Linked DNA regions of Diceros bicornis minor. The protein of the gene in region 2 purifies or fractionates together with the protein of the main gene of each other region. This does not show direct contact. Links are inferred from orthologs where the notes say so. Each region holds a gene or a part of one and is shown on either strand. Other genes may lie near its edges. The genes, in order: EIF3J, CSNK2B, ZNF687 and RPS6KA3.

Evidence for each region.
Region 1: the proteins of CSNK2B (region 2) and EIF3J purify together in Homo sapiens (co-immunoprecipitation; 3 studies listed by BioGRID and IntAct, with this or other methods). This does not show direct contact. The link is inferred for Diceros bicornis minor from reciprocal best matches to the Homo sapiens genes CSNK2B and EIF3J.
Region 3: the proteins of CSNK2B (region 2) and ZNF687 purify together in Homo sapiens (co-immunoprecipitation; 3 studies listed by BioGRID and IntAct, with this or other methods). This does not show direct contact. The link is inferred for Diceros bicornis minor from reciprocal best matches to the Homo sapiens genes CSNK2B and ZNF687.
Region 4: the proteins of CSNK2B (region 2) and RPS6KA3 purify together in Homo sapiens (affinity purification with mass spectrometry; 5 studies listed by BioGRID and IntAct, with this or other methods). This does not show direct contact. The link is inferred for Diceros bicornis minor from reciprocal best matches to the Homo sapiens genes CSNK2B and RPS6KA3.

The regions. Positions count from the first base shown.
Region 1 is NC_080744.1:41,734,457-41,742,430, reverse strand, and holds the start of EIF3J (eukaryotic translation initiation factor 3 subunit J), read right to left. Parts: upstream 3,009-7,974; 5' UTR 2,714-3,008; coding exon 2,680-2,713; intron 2,594-2,679; coding exon 2,490-2,593; intron 1-2,489. UniProt on the Homo sapiens protein: Component of the eukaryotic translation initiation factor 3 (eIF-3) complex, which is required for several steps in the initiation of protein synthesis.
Region 2 is NC_080753.1:33,097,610-33,104,892, forward strand, and holds the start of CSNK2B (casein kinase II subunit beta), read right to left. Parts: upstream 3,005-7,283; 5' UTR 2,780-3,004; intron 2,548-2,779; exon of another isoform or gene 2,500-2,547; intron 2,170-2,499; 5' UTR 2,159-2,169; coding exon 2,087-2,158; intron 1,133-2,086; coding exon 1,030-1,132; intron 452-1,029; coding exon 336-451; intron 1-335. Other genes in the region: GPANK1 (G patch domain and ankyrin repeat-containing protein 1), read left to right, coding at 4,577-5,187, 5,750-6,194. UniProt on the Homo sapiens protein: Regulatory subunit of casein kinase II/CK2.
Region 3 is NC_080743.1:55,552,741-55,560,542, reverse strand, and holds the start of ZNF687 (zinc finger protein 687), read right to left. Parts: upstream 3,003-7,802; 5' UTR 2,918-3,002; exon of another isoform or gene 2,903-2,917; intron 2,874-2,902; exon of another isoform or gene 2,713-2,873; intron 2,509-2,712; exon of another isoform or gene 1,404-2,508; intron 1-1,403. UniProt on the Homo sapiens protein: May be involved in transcriptional regulation.
Region 4 is NC_080781.1:16,902,467-16,910,188, forward strand, and holds the start of RPS6KA3 (ribosomal protein S6 kinase alpha-3), read right to left. Parts: upstream 3,008-7,722; 5' UTR 2,761-3,007; coding exon 2,692-2,760; intron 1-2,691. UniProt on the Homo sapiens protein: Serine/threonine-protein kinase that acts downstream of ERK (MAPK1/ERK2 and MAPK3/ERK1) signaling and mediates mitogenic and stress-induced activation of the transcription factors CREB1, ETV1/ER81 and NR4A1/NUR77, regulates translation through RPS6 and EIF4B phosphorylation, and mediates cellular proliferation, survival, and differentiation by modulating mTOR signaling and repressing pro-apoptotic function of BAD and DAPK1.

The DNA.
Region 1 (7,974 bases), on a different chromosome or scaffold from region 2:
ACAAATATAGAAAATGTCAAGGCAACAATATAAACCCAGGTCTGCCTGATTCCCAAGTCCAGGAATCAAACTACTCCATAGCTACCGTATCTTGGGAATCTTGGAGAAACTCAAAAGAAAGAAACCAACATTTCAACTTGGAAATAAAACAGACAGTTCAGCTTTCTTCTCCAAGATCGACGTCAAAGTTTATGTAAAAGAAATAAGCCGGGGCCGGCCCGGTGGCATAGCAGTTAAGTGTGCGCACTCTGCTTCGACAGCCCGGCCCAGGGTTTGCAGGTTCGGATCCCGGGCACGCACCAACGCACCGCTTGTCAAGCCATGCTGAGGCAGCATCCCATATAAAGTCGAAGATGAGCACAGATGTTAGCCCAGGGCCAGTCTTCCTCAGCAAAAAAAGAGGACGATTGGCATTGGATGTTAGCTCAGGGCTGATCTTCCTCACCAAAAAACAAAAAAAGAAAGAAGCTATTAGTGGGGCTGGCCCCGTGGCTTAGCTGTGTGCGCGCTCCAGGTTTGGATCCCTGGCGCGAACCGATGCACCGCTTGTCAGGCCATGCTGAGGCGGCGTCCTACATACAGCAACTAGAAGGATGTGCAACTATGACATACAGCTATCTACTGGGGCTTTGGGGAGAAAAAGGGGAAAAAAGGAGGACTGGCAACAGATGTTAACTCAGGGCTGGTCTTCCTCAGCAAAAAGAGGAGGATTGGCATGGATGTTAGCTCAGGGCTGATGTTCCTCACAAAAAAAAAAAGAAGAAAAGAAATAAGCTATTTGTATAAAAGAAACTCGGCACTGAAAGGGTGACTGGACAAGATGATCTTTATGGTCCCTTAAAACTTGTAAATCTCCAAAATTAGTTCCAAGTGGTCAGAATTATATTTATCAGGATTGACACCATTTAGATTCAATAACCTCAGGCAGGCTACTTCATGATCAGTCTAGACTGATCCATTCAAACTTCATTTTCTGGTACTTCTTTCCTGATTTCTCTAATCTTTTCTTCTCATTTGCCAACTTGTTCCCAATTTTCATAACAGATGTCTTAAATGCTACATCCAGTATGCACAGAAAAAGTGAATGGACAAATCTGAACTAAAGGCTCAAAACAGAAAATTCACTACAATGTGGGAAGGTGACATATCTTGTAATGAGTCTGACAACACAATCCATTCCCATGTCTACACAACAAGTAAATAAAGCATCTAAGTATCCTCACAATAGTACTACTCATTTATTAACCCCAAAGGGTGCAAAGCTCACTTCATTCCTGTACCTGGCTGTTTGATAAACTGGACATCCACGTCATCAGACTCAAGACAAAACAGTAAAATCCAAACAAAGGTAGTATTAAGTTCATAGTGATTAGCATAAATTTTTTCAACCCAAGCAGAAGGAACTGTAGGGTTCTCAGTATGTGCTGAAGGGTGGAAGTTAGGAGATTAAAACATTCACCAAATGAATCAAAACCACAAAAAAAACATTTCCAATCCATACAAAACTTTATCTACACAAATACAGTATAAGACTTGGAGAACTTTGTCAATAAGAGTCTTAACATTCTGGGCTTGAGACTTCTGTAGCTACTTCAAAGGGAAAAAAAAAAAACAAGGAATGCAGTAGTCACGATGTCATCTGAAGCCATATGCGGAGGCCCCCCAAGAGTTTTCAAAACACAAACGAGGAAGGTATCTGGTTCACACCTACAAGCAATAGGAAAAAATAAACACTGCCCTGCCTCGTCCACTCCAACCACTAAATCTTCAATATTTCTTTGGACGTCACTCGTGTTTAGACGAATAACTCACTCTGTCAACTCCCCATTTTTCAGGTTTCTGACCATTAACTGTGGGCTATCTCAGGACTCAGTTTATCCTTTTACCACAGGGTCGGGGAAGGAAGGCTAAAACTTATTTCACTTTATTGTTTTTATTTGTCTTTTATGAAAAATAGATTGAAATTAAACAATATTTCACTCATCTAACTGCTTGAACAAATTCTACAAATGGGCCTTCGGAGACATAAATTAGTTACTGGCCCTGGGGAGACCTGAGCTCGAAGAGGCAGGTGGGTTGCAAGACTTTCCATATGGGACGAGCCATGCGGCTCAATCCCCAACTTCCCAGTCTCACCCCGGGGAGCGGCTCCGGGCCGCGAAGTCTGCACGTGGACCGGCCCAGACGCTGCTGTCATCTCCTGTCGCCAGTTGGGGGGTGGAATCCAGGCCGGAGCGCGGACCCTCAAACAAGGGCTGGGGCCCGGCCGCCGCCCTCGCCAAGGAAGTCCGAGGCAACGCTGCCCGTCTCCGGTCCGTACGGCCGGCGAGCGGAGGGGAAGGGGGCACCGCCAGGCCCTACGATCGCGCCTGGAGGCCCGGGCGGCGCCCCTGGGCCCAGAGTCCATCAGCCCGCCCGTCGGCAGGCAACCCCGCCCGCGACGGCGCCAGTCCGCTCCCGCGCTGCCCGGAGCCCCGGCCCGCACCCACCTTGACGTCCTCGTCCTCGTCCTCGCCTTCCCAGCGGTCCCCGCCGGCGGTGCCGCCGCCCCCCACTTTCCGCACCGGGTCTTCCACGGAGAACGTGTCTGCGTCTACGGAAGAGAGCGAGCCGCGTTAGTCCCTGTCTCGGCATGGTGCCAGCGCCGGCCCGGGCCCTGCCCCCGGAACTTTTGCTCACCCCAGGAGTCGGAGTCCCCCGCCGCAGCCGCCATCTCGAGCCGGGCGTGAGCGTGTGTGAGGAGTGAGCGAGAAGAGTTAGCGCGGCGGAGGTGAGTCACTGGATTTGCTCTCGTTGGCTGGCGCGGGGCAGGCTGGGACCGTGGCTGACTACGCCGGGACCCAGGCCCCGCCCCCTCTGGTGGCGGCGGGGACGCGCGCGCAGGCGGGAAGGGGGCGTGGAATGCGGTCAGTGGGGCGTGGGTAGCGCGGGCTGGCGAGGCGAGCGTCCGGTACCCCACGACGCGGAACAGTCCTGGTGGATAGTGGGGCGGGGAGAGATGAAGAGGCCGGAGACCGCCACCCTAGCCTGGGCCCCGGGGAGGAAACGTGAGTGCGGGGAACTTAGCAGGGCGGTACCTTGCCTGGCGCTTGGCCCTCGCCTGTTCTCGCCATCCTTCCCCTACCAAGCCCAGCCCCGCCCCGACTGGTCGGGTGCGCCCTCCCTCTGGTCACTTTGATCGCCGCCTGTGGCTGCTTGTGGAGACCCCCAGCCTCTTCACGCCGCGCTGAGAAGCGGACTCTGAACGCCACGGCCGCCTCTGGGGGCGGTGGACGGGCCTCGCTGACCCCCCGAGGGCCCGCTCGCGCGCTGGGGGAGGAGGGATCCCTCGGGAAGCCGGTGTGCGCGGGGCGCCCGGGAAGGAGCGAGTGGAGAGAGCCGCGTTCCTGGCACTCTTCCCAGCCAGGGTGCTTGGAGTCAGCTCCTGGCACGTTTGCGTCGAGTTAGTCACGAAGGGATCGAAGAGAGCCCCAGTGCTCGAGGATTTTCCTGTCCTGTGAGCCTCATGAGGCCAGTACATGATTCATTATTTCGTAGAATAATTTTGAAACTCAGTCTGCGCTAGGCATAAACTCTAGCCTTGTCTTCAAGGAGCGCATAATCAAGTAACATAGATAGACGTGTAAACAAGTTTCGACACAGTGTGATGGCTGCAACAAAAAGAAACATTGTGAGGTTAATGTAAAAAGGTAACAATAACGGCGGGGGGAGCGGGGATGCATGAAAGTCTTCTTGAGGTAAGCGCTGCGGAAATTGGAGTTTGAAAGACCAAGTGAAGTTTGCTCAAGTGCACTTCCAATAGAAAGAACGCATATGGTCCCTCACCTGACTGAGTGAGACAATCGCAGATAAGCTGAGCAGGTAAACTGATCATAATAAAGGGCTTAAGATAGGCTAAGCTGCACTCTGCCTTTTGGGCCACTGGTCTTTGCTGCAGAGGGTTTAAGAGGAGAGCAGTTTCACATGTTTTATTGTCGAATACATACTTGGTACAACATTCAAGTTATAAAAAGCTGTATACAGTGTTCAGCTATTCTATTCTTTCTAGTGGCAACCATTGTTCCCCATTTCTTGTGTATCTTTTCAGAGAGTCTACAAATACACATTTCGTAAAGATGGGCTTTTAAGAGAGATTCTACAGCCCAATTACTTAAAGTTTGTCCCTCCATCAGCAGCAACACCTTGGGAGCTTGTTAGAAATGCAGAATCTCAGGCCCCATCCCAGACCTACTGAATCAGAATCTGCCTTTTAACAAGATCTTCAGATGAGACTTTGTGCATTAAAGTGTGAGAGGCAATGATATACAGGCATCCATTTAGAAAGATGGATTGGAAGGAGGCAAGACAGAAGGCAGGGAAAGACTGGAATATAAGGTCCTTAGGGCACAATCTTTTATTCACAGTGTATCTCCAGTATTTGGCACAGTATCTAATACATAAGTAAATATTTTATGAATTAAATGAGAAGAATACAAGCCTAAAAGTAAGGCAAGGGCGACAGGAAAGAAGGAACAAATCTGAGAAATATTTAAGGGTCAAAATCAACAGAATTTAGTGACTATGATGGTTAATTTTATGTGCCAACTTAGCTAGGCCATCTACCCAGTTTTTGGTCAATCACTATTCTAGTTGTTGCTGCGAATGTATTTGTTGTATGTGATTAACAGTTAAATCAGTAGACTTTGAGTAAAGCAGATTACCCTCCCTAATGTGGCTAGGTCTCATCTAATCAGTTGAAGGCCTTAAGAAAACATAATGAGGAAAAAGGAATTCTACCACCAGACTGCCTTTGGACTCTGCAGCATCAGCTCTCCCCTGGGTCTCCAGCCTGCTGGCCTGCCCTGCAGATTTTGGACTTGCCAGCTCCCGCAATCCTGCAAGCCAGTTCCTTAAAATAAACCTTTTTCTGTGTATATATACACATCCTATTGGTTCTTTTTCTCTGGATAACCCTGACTGCTACAGTGATTGACTGGATATGGAGGAGGAGGGGAAGGGAGAAGTACATAGAAGGTAATGCCTTTGGAGATTGAGTGAGTGGTGGTGACGCCCATCTATAGATGCTCAAGTCAAAAACCTGTGAGCTTTCCTTGCTTTCTTCCTCTCTCTCACCCCCTAAATTCAATCCATCACCAAGTTCTGTGAATTACTACCAATATTAATCTTGAGTTCATTTAATTACCCCCCTGACTCTTGCTACCACCTCAATCCAAGCTTTCTCTAGACTGTTCTAGTATAATAACCTCCCAATTGGTTTTCCTGCTTCCACTCTTCCCTCTCCACAATCTATTCACTACGCACCAGGCAGTTTTTTTAATTTAAAAATGTAAATCAGGGGCCAGCCCACTGGTGTAGTGGTTAAGTTTGCGTGCTCTGCTTCGGTGGTCTGGGGTTCATGGGTTCGGATTCCAGGTGTGGACCTATGCACAGCTCATTAAGCCATGCTATGGCGGCATCCCACATACAAAAAATAGAAGAAGATTGGCACACATGTTAGCTCAGGGACAATCTTCCTCAAGCAAAAAGAGGAAGACTGGCAATAGATGTTAGCTCAGGTCCCATCTCCCTCACCAAAAAAAAAAATTGTAAATCAGATCGTCACACCCCTTTCTCTCAGTTGAAATCCCTTTAGTGGCTTCTTGTTATTTTTAGGGTAAAATCCAACTCCTTACTATAGCTTACAAGGCCCTGTATAGTCTGACTCCTGACTCCTGACTCCTGCCTCCTCCCACCAAGCCCCTTATGCCATTCTCTTTCATTAACCTCAGTTGCTCCTGGCCCTCAGGTAGAGGGCCTACTAAGCCTTTCCCTATTTTTGGACTTTGCACTTGCTGTTCTTTCTGCCTACAGTGCTCTTCCACACCTCTTTGTATGGTTGGCTTTTCTTCCTCCTTCAAATCAAAGTTCATATGTTACCTTTGCAAAAAGCTCTTTCTTCCCTGATCTCCCTCCTGCAAGGGGCCTCCCCTAGTGACTCTATCTCGTCACTCTGTTTTTGTCATAGCATTTATCACAATCTCTAATGACCTTGTTTATTTAATGTCTGTTTGAAGCACAGGGACCTTGTGTTCTTGACTACTGTACTCCCAGTGTCTGCCATGTAGTAAATGCTCAATAAATGTTTCTGAAAATGACTGAATGGTGCCTCTCATCATAATAAGGAATAAGGATAAATTAAGTTTTGGCCACTCAGATCTTGATATTCCTATGGGACATCCAAATGGAAATGTCTAGGACACATTTGGAACTGAAGAAATCTGGGCTCCAGATAGAAGATTTGGAGTCATCTGATTATGGTGGTGGATGGAATCATGTGGAAGTAGAGGCCATCTGAAGATAGGAAAGAATGAGAAGAAACCTTGAAGGACATAACATTTAAGCAGCAGCCAGAGGAAAAAGGTATAGAAAGGATAGTAAGTTTTTAAAAAAATTTTGTATCCTTCCAATTCTACCACTTTTTTTGGTAAAAAATATAAATTTTAAAATACTATGAATTATGGTATATTTGAAAATTCACTGTTGGAAGTCAAGAGACCTGGGTTCTTGTGATTCAAATGATCAGATTATATTGAACTGAACATTGGGCACTTCTGGTGAGGGGTGGGGAAAGCTCACAATAATTCCTTTTCTGGGGCCTGCCCCGTGGCTTAGTGGTTAAGTGCATGCACTCCACTACTGGCGGCCCGGGTTCGGATCCTCGGTGCACACCAACGCACCGCTTCTCCGGCCATGCTGAGGCCACGTCCTACATACAGCAACTAGAAGGATGTGCAACTATGACATACAACTATCCACTGGGGCTTTGGGGAGAAAAAGGGAAAAAAAGGAGGAGGATTGGCAATAGATGTTAGCTCAGGGCTGGTCTTCCTCAGCAAAAAGAGGAGGATTGGCATGGATGTTAGCTCAGGGCTGATCTTCCTCACAAAAAAAAAAAATTGTCCATAACAAAGGTATTTAAAAATAATAATAATTCCTTTTCTGAAAATTGTCCTAGTATACAAGAGTAGGTGGACTCCCTAGGGTCATGTTTGCTCCATTACCATAGCTGATTTGGGAAGGGGGTCAGAAGCAGATTAACTGAAGCTAATGAAGCTTTAGCTTGAGGGACCCTCATTGCATGGGCCCCTTCCATTCTTCAAGAAAGCCCTCCAAATTGTATATGCTTCAAACCATATAAAATCTGAATCTGCCCCTAGATGGGATGTAAGTAACCCAGTGGAACCACCAGATTCTCTGATGGTCTCCAAAGATGGCCCTTTAGTGAGCAGTACTCAACTCCTTATGTAGTCTCTTCCCCTTGAGTCTGGGCTAGCCTTGTGATTCATTTTTGACCAGTAGAATAGGACAGAAATGACATCTAAAGCTAGGCCACAACAAGCCTTGCAGCTTCCACCTGCACCTTTTGGAATGCTCACTCTGGTGGAAGTCAGCCACCATTTAGGAAGTCTTACTATCATGCTGATTCAAGCTAACTATATGGAGAGGCTGTTTAGGGAGAGAGAAATACTCAGCCAGCCGCTGGCTGTTTCAGATTATCCCAGCAGAGATAACAGATATAGGAGTGAAGAAGCCATCTTGGACATCCAGCCTAGTTGAGCCTTCAAATGATTCCATCTCCAACTACTTTTTTGATGCAATCACAGAAGACCCCAAGCCAAGAGTTGCCCAGCTGAGCCCACTCAACCCACAGATCTGTGAGAGATGTCATCTTAAGCCTCTTAAGTTTTGAGGTGAATTGTTATGCAATGATAACAGAAAGATTCTCTTTCCTAGGACTTTAGAATTTGGAACTCAAGACTCTCAGGGCCTGGGAGTTGGTGGCTGATGACAGCACCCTGAAGGGAAGACCACAAGCTCCTGTTGGAGTGATGATTTCCCAAGCCACTTTACTGCCTCATGCATTCCCTTGAGGTCCAGTTGTCCAGCTCTTCCTTAAATGCCACGGGGTACCCCACTATCTTTCCAGTAAATTCC
Region 2 (7,283 bases):
GGCCCCTTCTCTGGCCCAGGCTGGCCCTCAGACTCCTCTGCTTCCTTTCCTCCAGTTAGGCAGGCTGTAGACCATCAGAACCATCTGCTGTTTATTCCCTGAGGAAGAGGCAGTCTGTAACAACTTCCCATCCAAGGTCGTTGTCTCCCTCCCTGAAAACGCCCCCTTCACACAACCCTCAACCAGGATTTCATTCCCAGGCCCAGGTTCTGGGGTTCTTCCCCTCTTCTCAGCTAGACTCCTTGACAGGGTTGAAACACATGACTTCTTGCTGTGGGAACCTCTGTTTTCCTTATTGCCTCAGAAGGAATCAAGTGGGAGCAGAGAGGCCTCACCATCTGGGCGATGCCACGGTTGGTGAGGATATAGCGGGCGTGGATCAATCCATAAAGCATCTCAGCTGCCTGCTCAATCAGGTCACTCTGGTTGGGGTTGTCTTCCAGCTCTTCATCTGAAACATGGCCCCGGCCGAATGTAACCACTTGACTTACAGCTTTTTAAAGATGCCCTGCCCACCCCAAGGGGCTGCTGCCTACTCACTTTGCCCAGCACCCACCTTTGAGCCTCACCCCACCCATCACCTGGGCATTTGACCCAGAAACCTGGGCCTCTGCCCTTCCACGAACCCAAGGCAGCTCTGCCTTCTCTCTACACCTCTTCAGCTTCTGCTCTTTTCTCTCCCTCCCAACTCCCTCCTCAACACACAAATGCAAAGATGTCACTGCAGAATATGAACTCCAGACCAGAAGGTGCAAGGCAGGAGAAACAAGCAGCAAATGAGACCCAGGGGGAGACCAGCATTATGCAACAGAGCTGAGTTATAGAATCAGAGTATGGGAATAAGTGGTATAAATCACAAAACTAGGCAAGAGTCAGGTGGGGGATCAAAATGAGGTAGGGGATTTTGGGTTAAGGGAATCATAAAACCAAAAGGAAATTCAGAAATTCAAGAAGCAGGTGAACAGGAATTTGAAACGAAAAAAAAAAAAAAAAGGCTACACACACAAAACAACCCTGAGGGTGCCTCACCAGGTTCCAGGTCCAAGATCATGTCTAGAGCTTGTCGATAGTGAGGCACCTGCTCATTGAGTCCAGTGAGATTGAATTTGTCCTGGATGTAGTCTTCATCCACCTGTCAGGATATGGAAGTCAAGAGGGAACCTAGTTATAAGGCAGTTATAATCCCTTATAGTAGAACGCTCAGCTTTGACCTGGGCAAGTTGCTCAAACTGATGCTTTATCCTCTACACAACTGCTTCTATTCCCCTTGTGACCCACTCTCAACTTGGCAGAAGGACCTGAGACTCTCTCCTCAGTTTACACACACTGCCCTCCCATAAAAGCTTTGACTTTTCTTCTTTTTTAATTTTATTTATTTTTTTCTCCCAAAGCCCCAGTAGATAGTTGTATGTCACAGCTGCACATCCTTCTAGTTGCTGTATGGGGGACACAGCCTCAGCATGGCCAGAGAAGCGGTGCGTCGGTGCGCGCCTGGGATCCGAACCCGGGCCGCCAGCAGCAGAGCGCGCGCACTCAACTGCTAAGCCACCGGGCCGGCCCTGGCTTTTCTTTTCTAAGGATAAGCAATCTCTTCCTCAGAGAGACAACTCCTTCCAAGATCCCTGTCTCTGCTCCTGCCCCATCTCTAGGAGACAGTTCTGTCCTCTCCTTAGGGGCAGGTGGCTCTCTCAGGAACGCAGAGGCTGAACGGCTTAGGTTCTGAAGATAGTTACAATCCCTTATGTTAACACTTAGCTTTGCACATTATAAAATATCTTAATATGCAGTGTTTCAATTCTCCTAAAAGTCACCGGAGATCGGTACTACCAGCACCACTCTAATAACAAAAAAAGGGAAGACACAGGTTGACTTGTCCAACATTACATTGCTGGAGGGTGGCAGGGTTGGGACTTGGGCCCCAGTCTTGCCACTTCATCACAAGTTAGTGGGGGTTACCGAGGGGACTCTTCCTCGACAGGAAAAAGTTTCTACAGAAGCATCTGAGTGAAGTGTGAGGAAGCTAAATATGCGGGAGGATATCTGGCCAGACTATAAGTGAAGATGTGCAGGGAGATTGAGAACTCACTTCGCAAAAGAACTCATTGCCACGGAGACCACAGAACCAGGAAATCCAGGATACCTCCTCTGAGCTGCTCATCTTTACGTCAGCTGCAAAAAGAAGGGCGTAAGTAGAGTCCAAGCTCTCCCTCCCTGCTTCTGGTATCTTCCCTCCTCCCACACTTTGCTCTCCAACCACGAAAGAATTTGGGCCACCTTTTCTTAAAGGATTCTAGACTCTGGAGCGCCTCCCTTCAGTTCCTCTGGGTTACACCTCAGCCTATCTTATCCGACATTAGAAAATCTTTGAGGTCCCATCACTTGCGAGAAACGCACACATCCTGACCCACCAAGTCCTACCCACATCCCTCACGCTCCCGAAGGCCAGGCTCCTCTGCCCTCCCTATCAACTCCCACAGGCCCTCCGCTCGGGCTCCCTACCCCCGCAGATGTCTGCATGCTCCCTGGCGCTTTTCCCAAGGGTTTCCAAGTTTATCCTTTTCAAGCAAGAGCTGGGCCCCCTCTTTTCTCACGGCCAGGGGTGACCGTCAGGTCCCTTTCACCGGAGTCCCCACATCCCGCCTCCGCCCCTCAAGCCATCCCTCCCTCCCTCGGTGCCGCACCGGGTCACTTCCTTCTCCGCCTCCACATTAAGGAGCGGAGACCCCATGTGCCGCGCCCAGGGACAGGGGACTCGGTGCGGCGACGACCTCAGACTCACCGGGTGGACGAGGGCCGGGACCAGGGTGGGGGAGGGGAGCTGCTGCTTCCAAAGAACCGCGGCGACCGCTACAGCGCAGGCCGCGGACCCGACCGCGGCAGGCGAGTGGGGCGGGGGGAGTGGAAATCGGGGAGGGTGGGGGAAGAGGGCAACGCGCAAGCGCCAAGAGTCGAGTGCCCGAGTGGACGCCGGGAGACGGAGTCCTCGGTGGGGCGAAACTGGCGAAACGAGGGAAAGGCGAACTACGAATCCCAGGATGACTCTCACACGACCCTGGTGTCGCGAGGCCGCTGGGGAAGACGCTTGGGGGCGGGGCGCAGTGAGGCGCCACCGGAAGAGGAAGCCCAGTACGGCGTCTGGGCCAGGGAGCTTGGGAAATATAGTCGTGTGATCCGGGGACCGAGGGGCCAAGAGGGGGCGGGGAAAGGAACGAGTCTGGCTGGATCGTTTCCTGCCGCTCCCGTGACGCCTAGCCCCGGCGCGCCTTTGCTACCCAGGGGACTACTGACCCCATCTCCGGCCAACCCGCCGAGTCTTTATCGCCTGTCGAGCCCCTCACCCGAGTCAGGCCCGCCACTGGAGACCCCCGATGGGGCCTATGTTTCACCCCGGGCTTCGGCCTCCTGGGACGGGAGGTGAGGCCGGGCTCCGTGCTGAGGGACCTGGGTAGGGTGTGCTGAGCTGAGCTGAGCGGTGTGAGAGCCGGGACGGCCCAGTGCGCTAACCTGAGGTGGTGCCAGCCATTCTGCTGCTTGTCCCCTTGCACTTCTCCATTTCGTCTTAAGGCTTGAAGGGGGCCTTCTGCTGCGGGCTCTAAGTGTGACCTTCGAACCCTGGGCAGTAATGGTGAGGGGCAGCGCGACGTTATTTCATTTCACAGCTTCTAGGCATTCCACAAGTTTCCCTCCGCTTCCTCACGGCCTTTCTTAACTCAGAGAGTGGTTTCCCAGCTCCAGAAAATGAGTTCGGAGCGGGGGCCAAGTAGAGGAAGGCGAAGAGCATTCTGGGGGTGTTATGTAAAAGTAGGACCCCCCCCCCCCAACCGACAGATCCTCCTCGCTCCTCGCGGTACCTCGGCACGTGGCGCACTGGGCGCACAGTATTGAAAAGGGTCAAGGGCGGGAAACTGAACCCGTGCTTTGCGCATGCCTGCTCCCTCTACTAATGTTTTTGTTTTTGTTTTTTTCCCAGCCACGCATGCATCTTCGTGTCGTGTGGTTATTTGATTGTGTCAACTCTTTTGCTTGGAGTAGCGCCATTTTGCAGTACGGAAGCTACAAATCATCGCAGACCAGAGCATCTCCCTGAAATCTGCTTCCGCAGAAGTGTTAAGTCTGTGGAGAAGTGTCAAGTCTGTTTTCATTTGGGAAGAGGATACCGAAGCAGGATCAAGGAAGATTTAAAGGGCCAGGCTGATTGTTTTTCTTAATGGTATGTCTTAACGGGGTGGTAAAGTGGTTTCAGAGAGAGGCTGTTGTTATTTATTGTTGGTGAGGATGGGGGTGGACCACAAGACCTCTGGACGACTGTCTCATGTTGTTGTCTTTGTTAACCTTTACTATGGGGCATGGTCTGTTATTATAGGGTTTCCTGTTTTTTCACATGACTTAGGTCCCATAGGCCCTGCAGGGTCCTAGGTTGTGGGGTCATTTTTGGGGCAGGAGGGGGATTTTGACTCTAAGGTTACTTTTCTTCATCCCAGCAGGCATCTGGAGGTGGCTCTGGTCACTGCAGGGCCACTAGGGGGTCGGCTTGCTTGTCTCATCCTCCCCTTGCGTAGTCTGTTTCCCAAAAGCCATGTCCAGGCCCTCGCTCATCACCTTCACCCCGGCCACTGACCCCAGCGACCTCTGGAAAGATGGGCAGCAGCAGTCACAGCTTGAAGAGCTGGAGCCCACCCTGGATGGGGCTGCAGCCCGGGCTTTCTATGAGGCCTTGATTGGGGATGAGAGCAGTACCTCTGAACCCCAGAGAGCTCAGCCTGAGCCTGCCAGTGACAGAAAGAGGAAGAAAAGAAGAATGATGAGGGAGGCTGCAGCAGGAGCATCAGGAGGACATGGACAAAGGAGATCCCTTGAAGCTGAGGACAAGATGACCCAGTGGATACTGAGGGCAGCCCAGGAGGGGAATGTGGCAGAACTAAGAAGGCTGTTGGATCCCCAGGAAGCAGGGGGAGCTGGAGGGAATATCAATGCTCGGGATGCCTTCTGGTGGACTCCCCTGATGTGTGCTGCCCGAGCAGGCCAGGGGGCGGCTGTGCGCTATCTCCTGGGCCGTGGGGCTGCTTGGGTGGGGGTCTGTGAGCTGGGTGGCAGGGATGCTGCTCAGCTGGCCGAAGAAGCAGGCTTCCCTGAGGTGGCCCGCATGGTCAGAGAGAGCCACGGAGAGACGAGGAGTCCAGAGAATCGGTGAGGGGAAGCCTTAGCCCATATCCGTCTTTCACTGTGTTCTGTCCTTCCTAGCCACTTCACACCAGAGACCCCAGAACAGAGCTGAAGGTTTCTTTCCCCCATCCCCCAGTGTAGGTTGATAAGGCAGTGTGGCAGAGTGGGTATGAATATGAGTTCCCTGGGTTTAAATCTTGATTCTCCTTACTTGGGCAAGCAACCTAATGTCTATGCGCCTCAGTTTCTTTATCTGAGAAATGGGGGTAATAACAGCACCTTTCTCATAGGGTTGTTAGGATTAAATAGGTTAATATGTGCTAGAACAATGCTTGCCACATAGTAAGCACTATATAAATATTAGCTATAATCATTATTATTATTCTTCCCCCGCCCAAGAGCCTGTGAGGCCTGGTTACCATCTCCTTCTCCCAACTATTCCCCTCTGGGTCCCTCATTACTAAGTGGGGAGAAGAAAATTTGTTCCTTAGCAGCAAGACTGGAAGGACCCTGTCCCACCCTGACACTCCTCTCTGAGGCCTCAACCCTTCCCTTGCTCTCAACCCTTTCTCTTTTTCCTCTGCAGGTCCCAATCCCCTTCCCCCCAGTACTGTGAGAGCTGTGACGCCCACTTCCAAGACTCTAACCACCGCACATCCACTGCTCACCTGCTGTCACTGTCTCGGAATCTCCAGCCCCCCAACCTGCCCCTTGGGGTGCCCACCTCCAGCCCAGGCTTCAAGATGCTGCTGAGGGAGGGCTGGGAGCCTGGAATGGGGCTGGGACCGCGGGGCGAGGGCCGCGCCAATCCCATCCCCACTGTCCTCAAGAGGGACCAGGAAGGATTAGGCTACAGATCAGTGCCCCAGCCCCGAGTCACACACTTCCTGGCTCGGGATACCCGGGCTGTGGCTGGGAGGGAGAGAGCCCCTCGGGTGATCACACTGAGTCGGAGGGAGGAGAGAAGGCAGGAGGAGAAGGACAGGGCCTGGGAGCGGGATCTGAGGACATACATGAACCTTGAGTTCTGACCTTAGCAAGGTCTGACTCTGGTCTGCTGCTCAAGTCTGAAGTTGGGCTTTTGAACTGGACACTTTGGCTTCTATTTCCTAAGGTCTGCCCAGGTCCTAGACCCTCAGGTTTTGGTCAGTGGGCTCTGCCTTTGGGGGAGAGGGGCTGAGAGTTGAGAAATAAATAAACCTTCTCGCTCTTTTGTGTTTTATTTACTTTTCTGGAAGCTGTTGCAGGGAAGCCAAACAAGTCTGGGGGCCACATGCAAGTCCCACCTGAGACAGAAGGGGCAGCCCCTCCAGGTGGCATGAGAGGGTCACCTCCCTGCCAGTCTGGTTCACTTCCAGGTCCTAGCCCCTACCTGGAGTGCCCCACCTATTCTTTTACCCCCTGAACGGGAATTGCCCAGCCCTGTGTAAGTCTCACCTCTCCCAGGAAGTGTCCCTGACTACTCTAGCCAATTCAATCACTGATTTCAAAAAACAAGTTCATATATTTTGTGCTGAGAATAGGAATAGGAGACTTTCCCAACCTTCAAGTTGCTCACAGCTGGAGAAGGAGATGCCCATGGGTTCAAATATACTGCATGGTGATAGGGGACATCAGGGAAAGCTCACAGAGGTGATGAGAGCAAGTAGGGTTTTGCAGGAAGAGGCCATTGTGGTGGGAGGACCTAAGATTATCCAGGCTGTACGCTGTTAGCTGAGCTGGGATCAGAACTCCGCCCTCCCAAATCTAAACTTTAAGCCAAGGTTCTTCATTTCACTACCTCAAAATTCCTAAGGGTAGGAAGCACATCGTATTGTCTATACTTGTGTTTTCCACACTCCCCTGTCTCCCTCCTGCTGCTCATACCAGGTGCCACGCACGTGAGGAGCTCACTGTTGTCAAATCCAGGAAGTAAAATCTGCGTGGAGGGGCAGGGAAGGGCTACTCAAGCCCCAAGACTCTTCTCGTAGCTTTTTTTTTTTTCCGGAGAAGCCTTTCATGAAGTCACAGACAAGAGGAGTGGTGGGGGGCTAAAGGGGACGCGCGAGTTTAGGGGAGCACAAGCGGCCCACGGGCCTCTGGGCGACGAAAAGGGAGGTGGGGTGGCGTTTACATCAGGC
Region 3 (7,802 bases), on a different chromosome or scaffold from region 2:
GTACACCTCCACCATACTGCAAATCCCAGAGAGCTGGTACAGGTGACTGGTTTGCCAAACCGTAAAATTGAAAGGGAGGTACTGTGCACATTCCAGGGAAGACATCAAGATGCAGAGAAAGCAGAGAAAAAGAGATTCCTGAGAAATACAGATAAGAGATAAGGGTGATAGAGACAGAGGGAGTTCAGTGAGCATCTTGGTTGAAACCACCTCAGCCCCTCCTGTGCCCAACATAGAATCAATTAATCAATACTACTATCAAGGAGGATGTACACAATGGTCTAGATTTAAGGGCTCATTCATGGCAGCATGGCATCCATTCATATTCTTCATGGATCTTCTAGGGGTCCACAGAGATCTGAAAAGCCATGTGTACAAAGGGGAAGTGACTCAAGCCAAGACGTGAGAAATGATTCGAGTTCCAGCTTTATCAATGGCCTGCTGTATAAGGAAGTTACTCCACTGCCTTACTTTTGCTGTTTGAAAGAGGGGGCAGGTAATCCATATATCATAGGGTTATTCTGAGCATGATATGAATTGTAAACATTGACAGTCAGAACCCAGAATACGACTTATTATTACAGCTAGAACAAACAAGGACATGTCAGGTTAAGGAGGAGCTGGAAAGGAGTAAGCACTGGACATCCAGGGCTAAGATCAGACACAAGAGTTAGGGATCATATAAGGTCAAGTCTGGGGCACCTGGCGTCATCACCGGCACCTGGAGATCTAGCTTGGTTAACAGGCAGAAGTGGACTCAGGGAAATCGCCCAAGAGACCAAGATGGAAAGAATAAGACACAGGAACAGAAAGAGACAAAGAGAAGAGACAGAGGGGAAAACCGTGGCAGCAGTCTGGTCACAAGGGCCCCAGGCTAGGCCTCTCCTGTCACAAACACCTGCTGCTCACTCACCTACCTTTCCCCAGAGTGCCTCAGCCCTCCAGGGGCCCTCTCCCAGCCAGCCCCTCCTCCCTCTCTCCCTCCCCATCTTGCTCTCTCAGGGCTAAAACTCCAGGGTACCAGCTTATCCAGCACAGCTGCCACAATGGGGAAAAGCCAGGCCCCCTCACCCCTGTCATTTCTGTTCTGAGCTCTTCATCCCAGTTTATCCCCTAACTCACACTCCTCATCCTTTTAATTCTCCCCTGGCAACAGGAGCCCAGGAAGTCTCGCCCAACCCCAATTTGGCCTAGTATTTAAAAAAAAAAAAAAATCCCACAGGACTTCTGTGGCACTAAACCAACAAGAAGCCCAGCCTAGAGCTTGCGGGGGACTCAAGTCTGTTCCCTACCAGTTTTTCCCTACAAGGGCTTCTATATCTAGGAAAAAGCAACTGAAGAAGGCTCTGTCCTTACACATTCCCTACCCAGGATGCAGGCCATTTCCCAGGGCCAATTCTCACCTCTTTCCAGCCTTTAGACTGTAACTGGAGATAGTCCCAGCAGGTGGCAGCTGGCATTGCTGGGACCAAGGTGGGGGTGGAGGGAGAGGGTACCAACTAGCGAAAGAAAGGGGAGTCCTCCCCTCATCCTCCCCTACTTAATTCTGCAGGCTCTGAGTTTAAACAAAGCCCTCCACCCCATGCCTCTGGCCTGATGGATCACCAGGGCCCTCCTGTGCCTGGCTCTCTCCCGACCTGGAGAGGCCTGAGCTACCATTCACTCAGGCCTTCAGAAAAGTGAGCTGGTGGAGCAGAGATCAGTGGGGACTATGAGAAAACCTCTGTGAACTCGCCTCCCCCAAGCAGCTCCCCCTTTGGCGTCCAAGAGACTTAGAGGTTATCCGATAGCCAGGAGTGGATAGTCAACCAAACAGCAGAGCTCAAGGCAAAGAGGCTTCCCCCCACCACCGGCCCAGGCCTTTCTGCGGCTGCTGCGCCCTGTCTCTTGAGCTCCAGCCCTCCCTTTCCCTCTGTTCTTCCCCAAAAGCCAAAAGAAGGGGCTGAACAGGAAGAGGGTGAACTGGCCTAAGTCGGGTGGAAGCTCCATTACCCTTTCTCTGGCCCGGGGCCTGCTACGCAGAGGAGGGCGAGGGGCCGGCGGCCGGGGCGATTAGGCTGCCGCCAAGCTGGGCAGCGGGCGGAATTAAGTCCCTGCCATCTGCCGAGGGCCGGCGCGGGGAGCACGTCCGGGGTTGTGGGAGGGGGCGGGGTGTGCACAGGAGAAGCCAGAGGGGAAATTGAGGCGCGTGGCGTTTGTCTCGCTCCCACCGCCATGCGAAAGGAAGGACCGGCCTCGGCCAGGCCAGACCCTTAGGGAGCTGCCGCGGGGCACCTCCGGGCCCAGGACTACACGGGACGGGGGAGGCGCGTGGAAAGAGAGGAGTGGGGAGGGGACGGTCTCTGCGTGACTCGAAGCTCTCCAGCAAGGGGCCGTCCCAACTCCGACCTCGTCCCCTCCTCTCCCCGCGCGGCGCAGCCTCCTCCTCCCGCGGACTCCCGGGGGTCTCTCGAGACTGGGGAGTGAGCAGAAAGCGCGCGGCGTCCCGGGGCGCGAGCCCGAGTCCGGCCCAGGCCCGGACGCTGACCTGCGCCCAGTCAGGGTGCAGGCTCCACTCCGGCCTGGCCCAGTTCCCCCGCCCCCACCCCCGGACACGGACACCATTTTAGGTCGCGACATCCCGCAGCCTCCAGTCCCCGAGCCGCGCTTCGGACGCCTCTTGGGCTGGGGGGCGCCAGGACTTGGGGACTCCGACCCTCCCTCCACGTTTACCCGGCTACGGGCTGTGCTTTCAACAGGCGGGGAGTTTCGCCCATCCGCCCCAGGGGATGGAAGTGGCGTCGGGCCTTCCTAAAAGCTGCCCCAGGGGGCGGCGCGGAGAAGGGGGTAGTTGACCAAGTGGGGGAGGGGCGGGGGCATTTACCCGCCCCCCCAGGGGGCGGGGCCAAGGGCGGGTATTTACCCCAGGCACGCTTACTCGTTCCGCTCCTAGTGCGGGCCGAGACCCCGCGCTCTTTCCCCTGCTCCAGCCGCCGCCGCCGCCACCGCCACCGCCGCCCTCCCCGCGGCCGCCGCTACTTCCTGCTTCTCCCCCGTTTAGCCTCCCCCTCCCTCAGCTCCCTCCGCGTTCCCGGTCTGGGCTGCCCGCTTTCGCACTCGCCATTGGCCAGTACCCCCGTCGTTCAGGACTGCGCCCCTCCCAGCCCCGCACTGGGTTGGCCTTAAGTACTGCCGCTCGCAACTAGCCCCGCACAGTCTTCCCAGCCTCATTGGGCAAGGAGCCTAGTCCTTCTGAAGATGCTGCTCCCCATTGGTTGCGCCGGGGCCCACTTGCCCCATTTGTGCTTCTCAAAAACGACTGGCCTCCGCTACTGTCGTTTAGAAAGAAGCCAATCTGATTCCCGACTTTCCTACTGGAGGCGGTGACTATCCCAGGTGCGTCTCCGCCCCCTCACTCCCTATTGGCCGTGATCCTTGAAGCCTGCAGTTCACTTATGCAAATTTAAAGAACTCTCAGCTTTTATTTGGTGAACACTAAGGGGAACATCGTCGACTCTCAGTGGACCCCGGATGTGTAGATCGGTTTTCGCTTTTTGCTCAGGCTAACCCCCAATATCAGTCATACAGTGCAAAAGTCACAGAATGGGACGTCACCCAAATCCTTACGTCATCTGGTGACCATTTCCTCTCTGTTTTCCCAGTCTAAACTGTCATATAATTTGGATGGTTGGGGTCCTCGCGCTTCCCAGCTCCTGGCGATGACGTCACCCATAGCTCCTCCCTCCCGGGAGGGCTTGGGACAGGGGCGGGACTTGGAGCGCAGAAGGAACAGGCACCTGAGGCTTGGAACGGGCTTGCACACCGGAAGTAGGGGAGAGGTGACGTTAGGAGTGCTGGCGTGGCCTGGGCCATTCCCAAAGGGATCTTAAAGCGGCATACTGGTAGGCTTACTAAGCACGAGGTTGGGGGGTACCCCCTCCCCATACACACGCATCCATTTCCCATTTAAGAGCTCTCCTTTTCCCCGCCCTCAGCACGGGGTGGGGGTGGAGTCGAGGCAGGTTTTCCCGCGCTTTGTTGCCCCGCCCCCTGGAGGCGGGGGAAGGGGAGGGGATGCTCGGAAAACGAGTTGCACTGATACTCTAATGAGCACGCACAAGCCCTGTGTGCCACCTTGCGCACACTCTAGCCCGCCCGCGAGCCCCCGCAGCTGCCGCGCGCGCAGTCGCTCACAACCTGGATGTAGTTACTAAGGTGGTTCTGTACCCTGCTCGAGGGTCACTAGACCCGTGGACCAGGACTCGTGCGCGCCCTGAGAGTCTGCGTGGGTAATAGCGACTGTATTGAGGTGTGAATCAGAGCTTCTGGATGGGGCCACCACTTAGCATAGGTTTCATCGGGCAAGTCGCTGAACCTCCCTGAACCGGTTTCCCCATTGGTAAAATGGAGATTATAATACCCACCTGACATGATTGCTTTTGTGAAGATTAAAAGCGTTTAGAATGTAAAAGTGCTTTGTAAAGTGATGGGCAAGTGGGATTAGTGCCCGCCCACTCCACCACCTTCTTTCTCGAGGTTGCCTGCCATTGCTCCAGCTCACAGCGCTCTTCCATCTCGAAACAACTAACTCAGAGTCGCGTACTGGGTGTAGCCAACCGGTATTCCATTCCCACCTTCCTCTCTGAGTCTTTCTGTACGGAATAATTACTACTCAGATATACGTGTGGGACCTATTATAAGAACTTTATGTATATTAATTCATTTAATCTTTACCACAACCCTGTGAGGGCGGTACTATTATCACCTCCATTTTACTGTGGAGGAAACTGCTGCACAGACAGGTTAGGTTAGGTGACTTACCCAGGGTCAAAGGCAGTGGAGTTGAAATTCTGAGTCCAAAAAGTTAAACATTATGTTTCACAGATTCCCTTGCCAGGAGGGTTCTGGATAGAAATTTGTTCTTCAGTTAGATGCATTATTCATTCATTTAAGAAATAACTTAATTTAATCAATATTTATTGAGCACCGTCTGTGAGTAAAAACACTGTTGTAGGCGCTGGGAATACAGAAATGAACAAAGCAGACAAGAATCCCTGTCCTCATGAAACGTGTTCCTGTGGAGAAAACGAACAATAAATATGACAAGTAAAATATATGGGAGCCCGTTAGAAATGATCATTGCCACAGGGAAAAATAAAGCAGGGCTATCAAGCCACGAAAAGACATGGAGGAACTTTAAAGGCACATTGCTATGTGGAAGAAGCCAATCTGAAAGGGCTATATATATTGTATGATTCCAACTATATAACATTCTGGAAAAGGCAAAACTATGGAAACATTAAAAAGTTGTGTTTAAAAAGTAAAAAGGGGGGTCAGCCCAGTGGCGTAGCGGTTAAGTTCACCCGCTCCGCTTCAGTGGCCCGGGATTCACAGGTTCCGAACCGGGGGCACGGACGGATGCACGGCTTGGCAAGCCATGCTGTGGCGGCGTCCCATATAAAGTAGAGGAAGATGGGCACAGATGTTAGCCCAGGGCTAATCTTCCTCAGCAAAAAGAGGAGGATTGGCATCGGATGCTAGCTCAGGGCTAATCTTCCTCACACACACACACAAAAGGTACAAAGGTTGCTAAGCGTTCAGATAGAGGGAGGGATGACTAGGTGGAGCACAGGGGATTTTTGGTCAGTGAAACTGTTCTCTGTGATGCTATAATAGTGGATTCATGACATTATGCATTTGTCAAAAGCCCTAATGTAAACTATGGACTTTAGTTAATAACAATGAATCAATATTAGTTTACTAATTGTAACAGACGTACCACACTAATACAAGATGTTAAGAGGGGAAACTAGGGGGAAGGAAATATATGGGAATCCTGCTCAATTTTTCTATAAACCTAAAACTGTTCTAACAAAGTCTACTAATTTTTTTTAAAGTGAAAAAATAAAGCAGGGAAAGAGGACAGAAAGTGTGGGGAGGGTTGCAATTTTAGATAGGGTGGGCAGTGAAGGCCTCTCTGAGAAGGTGGCATTTAAATAAAGGCCAGAAGTTGGTGAGTGAGCCATGCAGCTGTCTGGGAAGACAAGGTTCCGGAAAGAGGGAACAAATACAAGTGGTAGAGGGTTCCAGAGAGGTAAGGGGGTGGGATTAGTGGGCCAGGTCATGGGATGCTTTGGGGGCTATTGGAAGGACTTTGTCTCTTTGGCTTTTTCTCAGAGTGAGATGGGAAGGAGACAAATGACATGGTGGCATGACTTACCTTCTAAAAAGATTGGATGTGGGGTATGAGAAAAAGAAACTCAAAAGCTTGGGGCCTGAGGAAATAGAAGATTGATGTTGCCATTTCCCGAGCTAGGAAGACTACAGGAGAAGTGGGTTCCAAGGTAAGTTCAGTAGTTCAATTTCAGTCATGTTCAGTCATATGACACATCCAAGTGGAGATATAACTTTGGGTGTCAACAGCTTATAGATAATATTTAAAATCTGGCTCAGAATGAATAAAATCACCAAGGGAATATATGAGGATAGAAAAGAGAAAATGTCCAAGGACTGAGCTGTGGGGAGCTCCAAAGTTTAAAAGTCAGAGAGGTAAGAAGAACCAGTAAAGGAGACTGAGAAAGAATAGCGAAGAGAAGGAGGGAACCAGGAGAGTGTTGTGGCCTTTAAACCGAATAAAGTGTTTCAAGGAGGAAAGAATGATGAACTGCCAGATGCCACTAAAAGATCAAATATGATGAAACCTGAGAGTTAACCAATGGATTAAGCAAAATGGAAGTCATGGGTGATCATGATAAGGACAGATTTGGTGGATTGGCAGCGACAAAAGCTTGCATGTAGTGGTTTCAAAAGAATGGAGGAGGGGGAAAAAAAGGAGACAGTGACTATAGACAATTCTTTCAAAGGAGGGAAGGAGAGAAATGAGATGGTAACTAGAGGGGAAAGGGGTCAAGAAAGGACTATTTCAAGATGAAGAAATTGCAGTATGTTAGTACACTGGTGGGAATGATCCTGTGAAGAGGAAAAATTGACGTTGCAGCGAAGAGATAGAGAAAATTTTCTGGAGCCAAATGCTTAAAAAGGTGAGGAGTGGGGTCTCTCTCACAAATGGAGAGACAAGGATAGTTCACCCATAAAAACAAGAGAGAAGGCAGAGGAAGAGGACATGCGAGGGGGCTGTAGATCTCTTCAGTTGCTTCTATTGTCGCAGTGAAGAAACAAGATCATTCCCTAAGAGAGTGAGGATGATGGAGGAGCTAGAGCTTTGAGGAGAGAGAAGGTAGGAAACAGGCATTCAAGAGAGAGGGATGGACTAGAAGAGGAGATCAAGGGACTGAGAGCCCAGGGGGTTGAAAGGCTCATTTAAAAGGATATTGAAATCAAGAATTATGATAGGGGTAGTATAGGAGTAGTAACAGAGTGGGGTGGGGTCAGTAGATGGCTGCAACAACGAGAGGCGGTATAATCAGAATGTACTGCTCCATGAGTGTGTGTGTGTGTGTGTGCGCGCGCGCGTGTGTGCATGCGCGCGTGCGTATTTCTAGCTCCCCAAAGGCTCCCTCTTAGCCTTGCCCAGGCAATAGCTACTGCTATTCTGCTTTTATCATCATTCTGCTTTTACCATTATTGTGTATCTAGCTTCCTTCTCTCAACATTTTGTTTGTGAGATCTAATCATGTTGTAGCAATAGTTTATTCTTTTTTATTGCTATGTAGTATTTCATTTTATGAATAAACCGCAATTTATCCATTCTACTGTTGATGGACATTTTGGTTGTATCCAGTTTTTGGCTATTGTGAACATAACTACTATGAATATTCTTGACCCTGTATTTTGATGGACAGGTGCTCTATTTTTTCTTGAGT
Region 4 (7,722 bases), on a different chromosome or scaffold from region 2:
GAGACCAACCTTGACATCTTCTAGCCTGGAGAGAAAACTTTTGATGTATTTACTCAAGTAAATGACTATCTTAAAAAACTGATTTTACTCTGGTAAAATACAATTATTCTCTGATAAGAACCTACTGGGGAGGAGATGGCATAATATTAAGCCCAATATTAGACTTTTGAAAGAAAACTCTCAACCTTTTCCTTACTGGTCTCAATATTTCCAAATTTCTATCAGAAGCAATTTACTTGAAACAGCTGAACAACCAAAGGCAACAAAATATCTAAAGGCAATTTGTTAAAATCTAGTTTTAATAAATCTAGGCAACACTGGCTGTTTGACATACCTCATGCCAGAATATCAAGAAAATTCTTTGAACATGGCAAATTGCGGAATCCTATCTGCCAAGTTCTGGAAACCATGACAGTAACCGAAATAAGTACTTTAACAAATGAGACCTCTTGTAATACCATAATTGTTTCTGAAAAACACATGACCTCTAACTACTGGCTTATTTATTTATACCCTGAATTTTTCCACAAAGGATCTGAAGCAGCTACCCTAATATAAAGCAAAGGACATGAATTATATCCACCTGGCTTTGAATTATGGCTCTGCCATCTACTATTTATAATCTTTGGGCCTTTAACTTCTGAGATTCAGTTTCTTAATCTGTAACAATAGGGACCGTAATCCTATTCTGTTGGGTCAAGGAAAGAAAATGAAATAGGATGTAGCACGGTATCTGGCATATAATAAGTGCTAAGTAAATACCAGTTTTGTGCCTTCCTTATCCAAATGTACGCTACATAGAAAAGGACAAGGTGGAATTTTAAACGATTTTTTTTTCACATTGATACGTGCCAAGCAGAAATGTGAACTGATTATGAGTTGCAAATGTTAAGGTTTGCATCTAAAAATCAGGCTCAAAGCAAATTCAATTTCTTTCCACAAGGTCAGCACTTTGAGAACATATTTTATCAACCTTGTAGCTATATTATTTAACGCAAAAAAAAATTTCTGAAGGAAAAAAAATGAATGAAAAGAGCCCCCTGGCATACTACTTTTCACACTAACCATTCGAAGGATGATTAAACATTCTAAATTTGATTTTCTTATAAAAGATTTATAGTATTAGACTGGCTAACACAATTTTAAATGAAATTCTCGTAATCCTGCCAGTCTTAAAAACATGATTCCCTTTAAAAAAATTTTAGGTAACATATATCAATGTCTTTCTTATTCAAGAGCAGCGTTTAGGTTTTAAAAATACGATCTAAGTCGCAAAATACTAAGCACCAATCGTAAGCACTATTACAACTCTGCTTGCGTTAGGGAGAGCAAGTAAACATTTTATACAGCAGTGGAGGTGACTAGGAAAACACTGAAAAGCGATTAGAACGGATCCCCCTCCCCCTTCATTATATGCTGGAGAATGCAAGTGTCCCGCATCTCAGATCAAACTGAGCCTCGGTCGTACTGACGTAACCAGTAACCCTATCCACCTCTCACACTGCGGAGGCCGGCAGGGCAGCGGCGGCCGCCAAGTACACCACTCATCAGAGCCTGCCCCATTCCACCCCCGCGTTTCAGTCATGCTTTCCAGAAATGGGGTCACTCACTCAGTAACTATTACACACACGCAGCCTATCATCCTGTAATCCCCCAAAGTCCGCTGTGGGGATAGAAGACAGCAAAAAAGTCAAGAAGGAAGAATCACAGACGCGCCACCATCAGGAATTGATTTTCCACTCCGGAGAGGAGCGCTGATGCCCTGGAATGGGTCTTGTCTGGATTATTTTCGCAGACCCCGAGTTGGTTCCGGGACAGGGGCGACTGCGAAAAGCTCAGTGCCGTGGGGTGTCCGGGGAAATTCTGTTTTGCCCTGTTTGGGTATATTGTTTGGGTTTTTTAGCACTCGGGAGGGTGTCTCAGGGACGGTCACCAGATCCCGGGCGAGGAAAACCCGACAGCCCTTTACGGCGGCCGCTGGTCTCCTTGAATATCACCCTCTCACCTCCATGGACAGGAAACTCAAGTTAAACTCGCGGGGGCCGGGTCCTCGAGCTCAGCGACCTCAGAAACGCGGGGGGGGGGGACCTCAGGCTTCCACTTTCTCCTTTGCAGCAGCAGAAACCGCTGCGGCAGATGGGGGGAGGCAAAACCCCTGGGCTGTCCTGCACTCCCTACCCGAAACCCCCACAGGTCGCCGTCCCTGCCCCCGCGCGCCCGTGTCCCCGCAGCAACCCCCTCCCCCGGCCGGACTCGAGAGTCCCTGCTCCCCGGTGAACCCAATCCCTACCCCTCCCTCATCGCCCAAAGTCACCCGGGGCCAGGGAAGCCCCCAACCCGGCAGGGCCAAACTTCCCAACTCCTCGCCGGCCCCCGCTCCGCCTCCCGCTCCCCCCACGCGAAGCTGATTAAAATCGGCTTCTTCCAAAGCCCCAGCGCCCACTCCAAACCCCACGCGCCACCACCCCACAGCCCCCCGAGCGAGGGAGGGGAGGTGTGGGTGCGGGTGGGAGGAACAGAAGGGCAGAGAGACCAACCCCAACTACCCAAACCGGAATCCCAGACCGAGGCGAGACGCGAGCGGCTGAGGAAGGGGCCGAGTGTCCGACTCCCGGGTGGGGAGCGAGCCGGCGGGGGCGAGGGGAGGGGAGGGAGGGTACGAGCCAGCCCCGGCCGCCCGGCTGCACTCACCTCAGCGCTGTCGGACGGGCTCTCCACAGCCATCTTCTGCCACGGGTCCGCCAGCTGCGCCAGCGGCATCTTCCCCCCCGGCCCGCCGCCTTCACCGCCTCCTCCCTCCCCGCCCGCCCCGCGGCCAGCCCCGCTCCGTCGCCGCCCGAGCCCCACGGCAGCAGCGGCGGCTGCCCGGGAGAGGGCTCGGCGCCGACACCGACCCTCGAATGCCGCGTGCCCGGCTGGAGACGTCCGCGCGCCGAGCGAGAGCCTCGCGCCGCTGCCGGGCACCGGGTCTCGCCCCTTTCTTCCTCTCCTCCTTCCGCCGCCGGGACTACAGCTCCGCCCCCCGCCCCGCCGGTTCCCGCGCCCGCTCCCAGCAGAACTGCGGCCGCCGCGCGCTCCCCCACTTCCGCTCACAACATGGCGCCTAAGCGATACCTGTCTCTCAGAGCGAGGCTCGGCAGCCGCCACCACCGCCGCGCGCACCCGGGGGCGGGGCTTGGGAAGACACGCCCCCGGCCGCCGCGCTGCGCTCCTCCTTCCTTCCTCGCCCCAGCCTCAGCTTCTGGGCCTCGCCTACTTTCAGGAAGGGCGAGTCCGAGAGATCTGGGGGCGTCGGCGGGAGGCGGGGGAAAAAAGAGGGGACAGGCAGGAGGGGAGAAAGGCTGGGAGCCTTTAAGTGCCACGGGACCCAGTAGGTCGGAAGCTCCTTGAGGATGTAGAGAACAGTGGTCCCCGCCCAGCTGGGGAAAGAGATGGGCGAGGCGCGGGGGGCGCGGTTTGGTGCCAAGGACCCCGAGAGGGGGCGTGGGTGTCTTTTCCGCCTGAGCCCTCCGTGAGTGCGTATAGGCGCGCGGAGTCTATAGGCACATCCCGTCATGGCCCAGGACACGCCCTCTTCAGGGTCACAAGCTGGGCATTCACCTGCCCCCTCTCCACACGCCCCACGACAGGGACACGGAAGGCTTCGTGCCCTGGAGCCCTCTGGGGGTTCGGCTCTCGGTTTGATTCAAGACTCTCCAAATTGACGCTCTCGTATTATATTTTTAATATTTGGAATTCATTCGTCTTGCAGGAGTCGCCCCCTCCCTCAAGTCCGCAGAGCCCTCGGGCTTCAGCCTTGACCCTCGAAGCCACCCCCACTCCCTGCTGCCTAAATCTTGACGAAAGAGAAAACAAGGAGGTTCCTTAAGGCTGCCTCTCTCAGCAGAGGTTGGGGAATTATTTAAAAATATCTTGTTGGCAGGAGCCCGGGGTTCCTGCTCCTCTGTTGACTTTAAATAAAAGATTAGATTAAAAATCGGGTTGGCGATGGGTGGAGGAGGGGGAGAGAGGGAGGGGTTCTAACTCCTCCTCCTGCCCAAGATAGGGAAGCCCTGGGTTAAGGAAACCCAATCCCCAGACGGCGACGGAGCCCAAGAGGACGAAGAGAGCTTGTGGGGAGAGGCCTGGGCGTCTGGAGTGGGTCCCGGGGGGGGTTCTACCCCGTGTTCCCAGCGCCAGGTGTCGTGGCGAGCTCAGTGCGCCAGGGCAGAACTGTGTAAAAGTCGCCGGTCTGAGTGGAAAGCTACTACAGCCAGTGGCTAACAGCCCTACAAGGAAAAGGAAAAAAGTAAAGGAAAATCTCCAGGCCGGCCAGTGCCTTCATCCCCTCAGGCTTCGGCCCAGGCGTCCGGGTCCTCCCACGCCCGGCGACCACAGCGCGTCCCCCGCTGCGCTCCTGGTGCACGCCTCTTAACAGCTCCCTTTCGTCCTTCCGGGACGCAGACACCTGGAGAGCCCTCGCCTTCCTCCCTAACGCAGGTGTGAGGATGCGATTAGAGCCCCACACCTAGCCGGCCAGGTCTGCGCGGGCGGTGCAAGGTTTCTCGCTGGGCCGGAAAGAGGCAGGTGTTGGGCTTTTTCTGCGGCCTTCGCCGGCGCGCCCCTTGGCACAGGCTCGAGGCCCGGGAGCCTCATGGCCTCCTGAAGAGGCTCCATCTGTTTAGGGAACCTGAGGAGGCGGCCGGAAATCCTCGCTGCGCGCCCTCTCCCGCAGCCTTGGACTCAGGGGGACAGCTCAGGGTTGAGCAACATCTGGGCAGGCTCAGCGTGGTCTGTGGGGTGGGGGGTGGGGAGGACTTAACTCGCGATTTTGTCACCTCCCCCAACAGGCTTGATTCAAGTGCTGCGAATCCAATCTGGACCCAAACTCAGCTAATTTGCGAGCACCGTTTCTATAATTCCTGAGGGTAAAACCAGCTTGCAGAAGTCTGAAGACAAGTAGTTGTGGGTTTTTTTGCATTTACGTACAAAGTGCCTAATTTATCTTTCATTTACATTGCAAAGCCACGTTTCCATTCCTTATACCGAAAAGAAGTTGGTCAATTTGGTTAGTTTAAGGTAAATTAGCCCCCCAAACAGTGATCAATTATTCCAATTAACATTCTTGCTTTAGGAAAAACATACATAGCTGAAAAGAGACGGTTATTATGTATTTAACATTGTCCAGCGCTAATTACTCCACTCAGTGAACTAACCTTTTTAAAATAAATCAGATTGTTTGTATACTGAAAAGTTGATTTCAGTATCAACTTTTATTCATTTCTTTTTACCTTGAGAACTAGAGGAATAACTTTTAAAACAAAGTTAATTGATCTGTAAAACTAATGTGAACAGTGGTCACACTGCCGGAATTAAGCATTAAACGAACTGTTAATAATAGACTAAAGAACCACTAGCACAGCTGTCTTGAATATACGATCAACTTGATAAGTATTTGTGACTTGATTTAGAAAAACGCTATTCTCCTTACTTTTGCCCAAAAAGAAAAGAAAGCAAGTTTTTTTTCTTTTGGTTAACAATAAACTTTTTTCGTTTCTTTTATTAAATCCAAGAGTGGTGCAACCACTCTCTCTGGCTGGAGAATTTGGGAAAATCAAAAAATCAATTTTTTCTTGTAGGTGGCAGCAAAAAAAGTTATTTGAACGTAGAAGCTGATATTGCCTGAGCAGGATTAATTTTTTTTCCTGTTTAAGAAAGGAAAACTCGAAGTGTAGTTATTCAGGCTAATATGGTAGCCACTAGCCACATGTGGCTCTTGAGCACTTAAAATAAGGTTGGCTGGTCCCAATTGAGATGTGCTATAAGTGTAAAGTTCACACCAGATTTCAAAGACAGTACCAAAAAAAAGAACGTAAAGTATCTCATTAATAATTTTTAAAAATTATTTTTTTGCAGTCATATTGGCTTATGACATTGTGTAAATTTAATGTGTACATTATTATATGTCAGTTTTTGTATAGACTGCATTGTATTCACCACCAATAGTCTAGTTTTTATCCATCACCATATGTATGTGCCCCTTTATCCCTTTTGCCTTCCCCCCACCACTTCCCCTCATTAATAATTTTTATACTGACTACATGTTGAAATGATATTTTGAATATTGAGTTAAATAAAATATTTCGTTAAAATTAATTTCAACTGTTTCTTTTTACTTTTTTTATGTGGCTACTATAAAATGTATACTTACATATGTGGCTTATTTGTCAAGATTGGCATTATAGTTCTATAGGACAGCCCTGCTTTAGAACTTTCCTTTAACACTGACCCTTTTCTGTATTCCTACAAGACCTATAATGTTCAGTGATATCCTCACATTCCGCTATCTTTTTGGGCTCCTCTGTGCAAAATCAGCACAAAGGGCTGATTCAGTTACCTACTGAATCTATGCCCCCCCCCCCATAAATCTCTCAGTCAGAACCAAAATATTGGAAAGTTATTACTTGAAACTACAGCAAAGGGAGACAGCAAACCTCAGTCGAAAATCTGGGCTAGATTTCCAAGAAATCATTCCTAATGTATGACAGGACAACCAGATTTAACCTCCTCTGTCCCCAACAATTTCCTGCTATAATTATAACCTTTGTATACAAGTTTAAATGGGCATTTACTTAACAAAATAACATTTGTTCAAAAAATGGAGTTACATCAGTCTGGAAAAGTTACAAGATGACTAACTATGGCTCATGGCACAATCTACCTCACATACATCCAAAATTCACAGCTCTGTTACATATAGGTTTGTCACCACCATAGAAAATGAAGCGTAATCATCATCACCTCTCTGAAAAAGTTTTTTCCCTTTACATTATCTGAAGCATATTTATTTTTCACAGAAAAAGTAATCACTAGAGACTATTTAACTATTTCTTTCCAAAGAGATAAAACTTAGGCTTAAATTTTATCTCACATAAGACAATAATTAAACAAAATGCATGGTGACATATCTTTCACGTGTATGAATTCCATTTTTTTCTTTGAAATTTCCTAAATAAAAATTATTAAGAGTATTTTCCTGATTGACACACATCTTAAGAGACAACAGGAATTTCTACATCTATTTGAAAATTTTATTTGAGAGAATTCAAATTTTGGAAAATGTAAGGATCTTCTCTAGGTTTCCCTCCAGATAGAAAGTTCAATGATTCTAGAGTTGCACATGATGAAAGATGCTAATAAAATCTATAAGGAACTAAGGGGAAGCCATTCTACGATACAAATACTTGAAATGTTTAACATTCTTCCCAGCAAGGCAGTGTGGGCTCATGATAAGAGCAGAGACAGGCCTGTGTCCAAACTCCAGGTTCCTCTACATCTCTAAGCTTCAACTTGAAGGCCTAGAACAGGGTCTGGCACATAGTAGTTGCTCAATAAATATTCGCAGAATAAGCTTTGTTTCCCTCATCTGGAAATAAGGATAATAAAACCCACCTCGTGCGTAGGATTTTGGGGATGATTAAATGCAAATAATGTCTGTAAGCATTAAGCACAGTGCCTGCCACATAGGAAGCACTCAATAAGTGGAGCTATTTTTATCAGCTTTATTCAGAAAGGAGTATTCCTGCATACATAATGTAGTTCAAATACTTCACTCTTGAAAGTTACTTCTTTCCATTTGTTGTGTGAGCATTTTATTATGGTATGATCTATTTCTCTAGGGCACTCTTGTATCACAAAAAATGATACTGTGAGTAACTTCCTGTGGAATTCAAATAAAAGAGC